2 linked regions of the Drosophila melanogaster genome follow. The protein of the gene in region 2 interacts with the protein of the main gene of each other region in a pairwise test. Each region holds a gene or a part of one and is shown on either strand. Other genes may lie near its edges.

The links. The genes of interacting proteins can lie anywhere in the genome.
Region 1: the proteins of CG9547 (region 2) and CG13407 interact in a two-hybrid assay, tested with the Drosophila melanogaster proteins (one large-scale study listed by BioGRID).

What each region holds. Positions count from the first base shown.
Region 1 is NT_033777.3:22,101,475-22,106,118, forward strand, and holds CG13407 (uncharacterized protein), read left to right. Parts: upstream 1-1,939; coding exon 1,940-2,028; intron 2,029-2,595; coding exon 2,596-2,781; intron 2,782-3,056; coding exon 3,057-4,116; downstream 4,117-4,644.
Region 2 is NT_033779.5:6,492,437-6,496,340, forward strand, and holds CG9547 (uncharacterized protein), read right to left. Parts: upstream 2,097-3,904; 5' UTR 2,003-2,096; coding exon 1,537-2,002; intron 1,419-1,536; coding exon 625-1,418; 3' UTR 538-624; downstream 1-537. Other genes in the region: CG31638 (uncharacterized protein), read left to right, coding at 1-27, 84-420, 2,502-2,668, 2,808-3,432, 3,621-3,629.

The DNA of each region.
Region 1 (4,644 bases), on a different chromosome or scaffold from region 2:
TCTTATAAAAATGTTGGTGGCAAATGTTCGGCTACTAGTTAACTACAATATGTCCGAGTCAACTTGTTATTGACTCTCTGTCTCGGTCCTGGGAGGGCTTTGAAATATGTTGACAATGGCGCCAGCAACAAAAGCTAAATATAAATACCCAATCCACAAAAAAAAAAAAAAAAAAAACAGCCCCCCATTTATGTTCTCAAATTTTCAACCCCGCAAGGCAATTGACTTTTCGATATGCTTCCCTTTTTTTTGGAAGAATCAGCAAAAGTCCTCTAGTTTCTTTTCCATAGTTTTTTGCCCAACATTTCCTGTGGGCCAAATTTTTGGGGGTTGGGGCAGCGCGACAAATCAAAGCGTTACAAAGCTGGAAAATGTGTGGAAAAGTTGCAGTGCAATTTATTATATGCTTTTGATTCTGCAAATCTAGCTGATGTTGTTCTTTCTTTTTTGTTTTGCTCCACGTTGTCGCTAGCACTGCGGAAATGTTAAATATTTGTTATTGCAGTCTAATGTTTCCGCTTTACGAAAGACAACAGACAGGGATTTTTCGAGACTGTGCTATGTTTGTGATCGAAGAGTTGTATACTTCTTGTTTAAAAGTAGTATATATATTACAATTAAATATAGTTAGAAAAAGTTAGTGGAAGATCAGAGCACTTGTAGTGTGTGATAACTGATATAAGCAGCACTAATATACCCCATAAAATTCAATTCAATATAAAAATCTTTTCTGGCAATGAAAACTATTAGCCCCAGTCATAAATCTTTAAGACCAAAGGCGTGGATGTGGAGAAGTGGAAGTGGACCCCAACCAAAAGCCGGGTTCGACTAACCGCACAAGGGACCACAAGAACCGAGCTCCATTTGGCTGCACAGACGACAGTGGCAAAGTCTGGGCCAGACATGGCACAATTATGACAATTTCTGATGCATAACGCTGCATCCATAGAGCTTTTAATGCAATAAACAAGCGACTGGAGCGTCATTAACACTGACAGGAATCGGTAAGGGTAGGGAGTAGGAGGAGTGTAGGGGGGGGGGGGTTGATGCCAAGGAGCATTCCCGGCCTTTTGTCGCTCACTAATTGTCTGGCCTGGCCGAAATGTGCAGCGCATGCATGCAACGCAACGCTCCAATTCAGGTGTGTGTCAGTTGGCCGTTGTCGCCACAAAACACTTTGCCGGCAATTGTCAGCTGGCTTTTGGGTACGTGTTACGAACAGTGATGGGAAATGGAAATACTTTCTCCACGGAGTACAAAATTAAATTAAGATACTAAAGATTACCTTTCCTGAAATTCAATAAAGAAGCAATATAGCAAAGTGGATAAAGTAAGGAGCTCTCGTTTAGAATCTATAACTTCTTCTTTTAATAAGTGAGTTACTATGTTTTTTGTAATTTTTGTACTTGTACCTAGTTTAAGTATTGGTACAAATGCTTTGCTCGAGCCGTACCTGCCAACACTGCCATTGAGTAGTTGTTTTAAGGCCGTTGCAGTTGCAAGTTGCTAGTTGTAGCCAAACTCACTTAGCAGCTGACAATGACAGTCGCCTGCCTCTCTTCTTTCCCGCATCACCAGCAACACCACTATCAGCACCACCACGATTACCACCCACTTCAAGTTCACCTGCGTTAATAGCCGCCTGCCAGGCAAGTGTCTGGGAAAGGCTTTGCCCAGTTGCCTAAACGACATTGTCACTTGCGGTTGGTTGGGCGCATCATCTCCTGCTGCTTCAGCCCCAAACTCCAGTTCGTCGTGCTCGTCCTGTTAGTCCTGATCGTCCTGTTTGCGGCTTCTGCAGTCGAGTTGCCATCGGTTTATGGCAGGTTGAGCACCAGCGACAATGAGCCACGCTGGTGCACCGTGTAGTGATAAACATGCGCGCTTTTCGGCACAAATCAATTAGCAATTGAATTTGGTGAACTCAAAGACGGTGAAAATGTCCGACGGCCAAATGACAAATCAACTCAACGTGCAACAGCAGGAACAACATCCGCTGCTTTCAGCCATCTCAGGAAATAATTATGCGTAAGCCATGGTCAAAGGCATTGGGATGTCGACTGTATTTGCCATACAGCCAAATCAAATTAAATTTGATATAATTAAGAAGTGGCACACTCACTCAGTTCCCTAGAATTATATTGTTAATCTGAACTCGCTTAAGTGCTTTTTATATATTTATCAAGAAGTCCTGCTAAACAACATCGTAAATAATGAATTAATTCTTTTTCAGTCATTGATATATGCAAAACTTAAACGCTTTAACAAACTTCTTTCTTCTATCCTACGTAATATTAATAATCGCTTAAAGGAGCCTTGAAAGAGTTTAGTCAGTTGCAACAGGATAAAGTGTGCTCTTTGGCTTAAAGATTAAGTGCTGGAGTGCCGGAGGCAACTGCAATCGCAAACGACCCCTGGCCCAAAAGACAGCCACTGCGGGCGCGGACTGATACCTCAGGCACTTAGCCGGGCTAATGTGGGACACAAACAGAAGCGGCGTCTCGGCCACACAACCACATGCCCAACCCCCCCCCCCCCCCACTCACTCATCCGCTTGCCCGCTTTCACCACTCACCTTCTAACCTTCTCTTGCAGTCAAACGCAGCGTGTGCATTACTATCCCAACCACTACTACCCGAGCCACTACTTGCCGGGCCATTACCACCAAGGACACCAAGGATACCAGGGGCAGCAGGGACGACCACCGCTCCTGGCGGCCGCCAGCAGCCACAACGGTGCTTATGCGGCCACGGCGGCTGGCAGCGGACACTCCGGCTACGGGTAAGCAAAGAACCACCGCTGCACTGAGAGAAAAGCAATGGGATGAACAAGAAAATTCATTCCAAATATACAAAGAAATTAAACTGTTATGAAAAAATATAAATAACTATTTGAAGATGAATATATACTTAATAATATTGATACTAATGAATACTAAAGTTTCGAACTTATCAACCTAAATTACCTATTTCTTCCTGTGCACTGGCCATCAAAGTCAAACCATAACCCCAATTCCAGTGCAAGTTCCGCATCTAATGCCAGTTTGAATTTTGCAGCGGCATAGAGCCATCCGTGGAGTACGAGCTGCAGCATGACCCACCCTCGGGTAGCTTCTCCTCCTTTCATCCCAGTAGTGCGGGCAGTGGGCCCGCATATCCATCTGCCCACCATCCGCCGGCTGGTCCACCACCGGCTCCTCCGCCCACCAAATCGTCAAAGAAATCGAAGAAGAGCAGCGGTTCGGTGATGAACGCACTAACGCTGCTCTCGTTCTTCTTCTTTGTTAACATGCTGCAGAACTGCCTGAAGGATCATATGGCTGACATGAATCCCACCGTGATGGTGCTCACAGCCAGCGGCACTCGCAATCGTTTCAACAAATTAGCCGAGATGAATTCACGCGAACAGACCTCGACAACGGCCACCGAATCGGTAACGGCATCGGCAGCGGCATCATCTTGGAATCATCAGGCTGCTTTAGTTCCGGCCGTCGAGCCAAGTGTGCCGCCCTCCATTGTTACGCCCACGGTGGTGCTGCAATCGCCCTACAGCCGTCACACGGAGATGGCCAATAAGCCGCCCCAACGCCAGCCAATGGAGTACCAGTCGAACCCTCAGCAAAATCATCACGATTATCGGCCCCACAACGCGAATGATGATGCTTATAATTACGGGCAGCGCCGACCTCCGCCTCAGACCTTCTCCACCTCCGATGGCGGCGATTTCTATCCTAATCGCACACACATCGACCACTCGTCCCGGCCCGACTTTGAATCGGAGTCGGGCTCCGATTACTATCAGCACCACTATAACCCGTATGCTGGCACAAACTCCCATCGGCATCCTTGGTCTTATGGCAGGCAGCGTTACTCATCCGCACCGTGGTCTTCAGCTTCGTTGGGCGCTCAGTCGGGCGTGAGCTCTTACTTGGATAATGCCCAGCGACGGCAAGGTGATGATGACGATGGTCATGGTTATGGCTATGGCTATGGCCACAGGGATAGGGATCGGGATAGGGATAGGGATACGGATGCAGATGGTTTCTGGGATGAGGACGAGAATGGTCAGCAGCGGCGACGCAGCGATGCTTTCTATACTCGCACACGCATTAATTGAATGCAAGAATTCCGCGCACATTTCTATGTTGCATGGCGGGGATTTGCTGCATTAACCCATTGCACAAAAATGGGGTGGCATAATGTGGATGGGCAAAAAAAGATGTGAATGGATTTTTTTTTAGAACAGCTAAAGCAGCGTTTATAGCTTATGGCATTTTACATTCTGTAAATATTATCCACGCTCTTTCGTTGTAGCTTAAAAATACCACATTTAACTTACTTGTATTATTGATTTTCATATAAAGTTATAATACGATATAAGAATTATTTTACATTACCTTTAAAAGTTGTATATCATAATGCACGACCGAGGGTTAAAAATGCTTAGCTTACATGTATTTATAATTAAAAGCAAACAACGTGCATAAGAGCTGACAAAAAATGAATGGAAAAAGGCGATGAGGCGGTGAGGCAGACAGACACACCCGGCAAGTTGGAATCGTAATGAAAATAAATGCTAATTTGTTGCACAACAAATTAAAAGTGCCCCCAGATTTTGCCTGGCGCTTGGCTAAGACTTTATTTT
Region 2 (3,904 bases):
TGCTGCCCGTGAGAATCTCGAGCGCCGGTAAGCAAATACGCATTCTGTACTTTGACAAGAGTGTAACTATCGATTCATTGCAGCCTCACGGAGCTTCGCACTGAACTGGAGCACCTTCAGGCGGAGAACGCCTCCGAATGGGGCAAGCGCGAGCGACTGGAGTCCGAGAAATTGGCCATGGAGCGTGACAACAAGAAACTGCGCGCAGAACTGCGAGATTATCAGGAACGTTCGGACCGTAAGTGCCGACCCATGCAAGCTAATGACGTGGAGCTGCGAGCATTGCAGCAGGAACTTTCGGAGCGCAACAAGGAGATCAGCGAGGTGAAGATGTCGCACGCCAAGCTAAAGAAGTTGCTGGCCGAAACAAACACAGAGCTGGGACACGCCGTGCGGCGAGCCGAGCAGTATGAGGCGGAGGTGAGTAAATCCACATCCAAAAATCTTATCAGATGATATATGGATCAGATTACGCGTATCAGCTTATCAGCCTAGGAAAACTTAAAGATGTAACAGCCTTCCTCGCCGAACCGAATTCGGTTTGATTAACATTTATTCACATTGACACTTCGACATAAAACAAATTGGTAAATGCAGTACTTTATGATTTTCGAAACAAGTACATTAGTTAGCAAATGCCGCCAGTCCGGTGATGGCTCGGCCCAGGATCAACGCGTGTATATCGTGCGTGCCCTCATAGGTGTTAACTGACTCCAGGTTGATTACATGGCGGATCACATGATATTCGTCGCTGATTCCGTTTGCACCCAGCATGTCCCTCATTTGGCGCGCTATATCAAGCGATTTGCCAGTATTGTTTCGCTTTAGAAGGGAAATCATGTCGGGCGTGTGCAGCTTCTGATCCTTGAGGCGACCCACATGCAGGCAAGCCTGCAGACCCAACGCAATCTCTGTGATGGCATCGGCCAGCTTCTTTTGGATCAACTGATTTGCAGCCAAAGGACGACCGAATTGTTTGCGATCCAGTGTATACTGGCGAGCAATCTCCACGCAGGTTTCAGCTGCTCCCAGGGCTCCCCACGCGATTCCATAGCGAGCGTTGTTCAGACAGCTGAAGGGTCCACTAAAGCCGGCCACATTGGGTAGCAACTGCTCCTCTGGCACACGGACCTCGTCCATCAGGATCATACCCGTGGGCGAAGCACGCAGAGAGAACTTGCCCTCGATCTTTGGCGTCTCCAAACCCTTGCCGGATATCTTGCGATCCACCAGGAAGCCGCGTACCTTGCCATCCTCGCATTTTGCCCATACGACTATGACGTCTGCGATGGGCGCACTAGTAATCCACGTCTTAGATCCGTTCAGGATGTATGTCTTGCTTTTGCTATCGTACTTGGCACGGGTCTCCATGCCAGCGGGGTCACTACCGTGGTTGGGTTCAGTTAGGCCAAAGGCACCTGAATAAATATGTAAAGAAATTGAGATTCGTTTAAAGAGAACACATATAAACTACGGGACTTTATATAATTCACTCAATATTTCATTAAAATATGATTTTATTCATTTGGCACTCACCAATCAGCTTGCCCTCCGCCATGCTGGGCAAATAGCGTTGCTTCTGCTCCTCGGATCCAAAGTCGTAGATGGCGCCCATGGCCAGCGAGCTCTGGACACTGACAGCAGACCGATAAGCGGAGTCCACGCGCTCCACCTCGCGGGTGAGCAAGCCGTAGGCAACGCTAGAGACTCCGGCGCAGCCGTATCCCTTAATGGTGCAGCCGAGGACACCCAGACTGCCGATCTCCTCCATAATTTTCTTGTCGAACGTCTCCAGGCGATTGGCCATCTTGACGCGCGGCTGCAGCTCGGCCTGACAGTATCCACGGAACGCATCCCGAATGGCCACCTCTTCCTCGGTCAATTGGCTCTCCAAATTCAGCGGATCCTGCCAGTTGAATTTGGGAGCTGCGGCTTTGGAGCTCGTGCTGGCCAAGCGGCGGGCACACGGTCGCAGTTTGCTGATTACACTTTGCGCAATCATAATTCCGATTCGGTTCTGTCTTTTCTGTTGGAAGTGATCAGCCGGTTCTCCACGGAACAGCTGCTCGATTCGACGTTCGGCGAGAGACTGAAGAAAGCTTAAATCTACAGCGAGAGCTTTTGGCTGCCCGCTCTTCGCGCGCTCTCTTCGCTCTTCTTCGCCAACTTTGTTTACCTCGCTTTAATATTGTTGTTATGCCCGATCTTAATCTGCGGGTTCTAAATTTTTCGCACTATCGCGCTTATATTTCACTTGACGATAGAAACCAAGAGTGAAGCGAGTGTGGAAGGAAATATTTTTCCATTTTAAGCGTTATCACCACTTGGCGGGGGTCGTCTGCTTATCAGTTGTGTTTGAAGACTGGAAGGCACGCCCCCTTGCTCTTTGTGCTTCGAGTTTTGGGTACAGATGCATCTTATGCGTTCAGAACAAATATGTAATATACCAATCTGAATCCACATATGTAGCTACATCACTACTTTTCTCTATTTTCCTGCAGGTGAAGCGTCTGCGTCAGCGTGTGGAGGAGCTGAAGCGGGAGTTAGCTGGTGCTGAGGACGAACTGGATTCGGCCGTTAACCAAGTGCGCCGCTTGCAGCGTTCCAACGATGAGCTGGTGGGTCAGACGGAAGGATTACAGGTGCAGATTCAGCACCTCCAGAATAGGTAAGATCAGTTCGAAAGAAACATTTAGATTTGCATACCGCTAAGTCTGTGGACTAACTCTAATAACCACTAACTTTTCAACTGGTGCTGGCTTGACTAATAACCTAACTCCTAACCCACGCTTAACCCAACGAAAAAGACGTGCTCCCAGTCCCCAGCTGCGGGGCATGGGCGGGGTGCAATTGAGGAATAAGATTGCCGTGGAGCTGCCCAACGACTGTCTGCCGAATATCAATGATCTTCGCCAGATCTTTGATGACTCGCAGGCAGGTTTGAGGAGCTCCCACAATGGCAGCGATGCCGCTATGCATCATGCTGCTTCCGTAAAGAGATCTAGTCACACGGAACGAACGCTCCTGCAGCAGCAGCAGAGTAGTGCTGCGGCATCTGCAGCGGCGGCGGCAGCGGCAGCAGCTGCTTTTTTTGATGCCAAGCCCACGCATCTGGAGGAGAATATATTTGAGTCGAAGTCACGGAATCTGGAGTTCGAGCGGGCCAAGCAGAAATTCGATAATCCTCACGGACAGCACCATCATCATCACCAGAGGCAGCGATCCGGAAACGGACGTTATGGCAGCGCAGGCAGCAGTGCCAGTCGAGCGAATCTAGCGCTGCCCCTGAAGGGAACCACAAATGGAGGCAGCAGCTCCGTTTCCAGTAAGGATGAGCTAAACCGACAGCTGTACGAGAAGGAGCAGTCTGCAGGCGCTGGATATGCGAGAAACAGCATTAATCTAGATGGTCTCAAGGTGTCCGACGATGAGGTGAGATTAGAGGAGCAGAAACGATTGTTATCACTTGAGTAAACTAATGCTTTGTTAGTTATTGTGTTCATCACATTATTGGTTTGATTTGTTTTAGCATCACTAATCCTTTTACTGCATGTATTGGTTTTACTAATCAATGTATAATTCTAGGTAAATATAATAACTATTTGTGATTTAAATTTCAGACTCCGTAGCTATGGTTCGACAAGCTTGCTGCTGGACGACGAGACGGAGGGTAACAGCGACTAGGATAACCAGACAAAAGACATTTGAGAGACATTAATGGTATTAACCTTAAGTATTAATTCGCAAGTACTTTAAAGTTGGTTGGACAACAGTCCCAAATATAATGCGCATTCCTAGTTTATATTTGGGCCTTTTACCAACCGGTGCCCCAGTTTTTTTTATAAGCATAACTATTGCAGAACGATTGTTCATGAACAAATACTTACTTATAAACTAAGATATT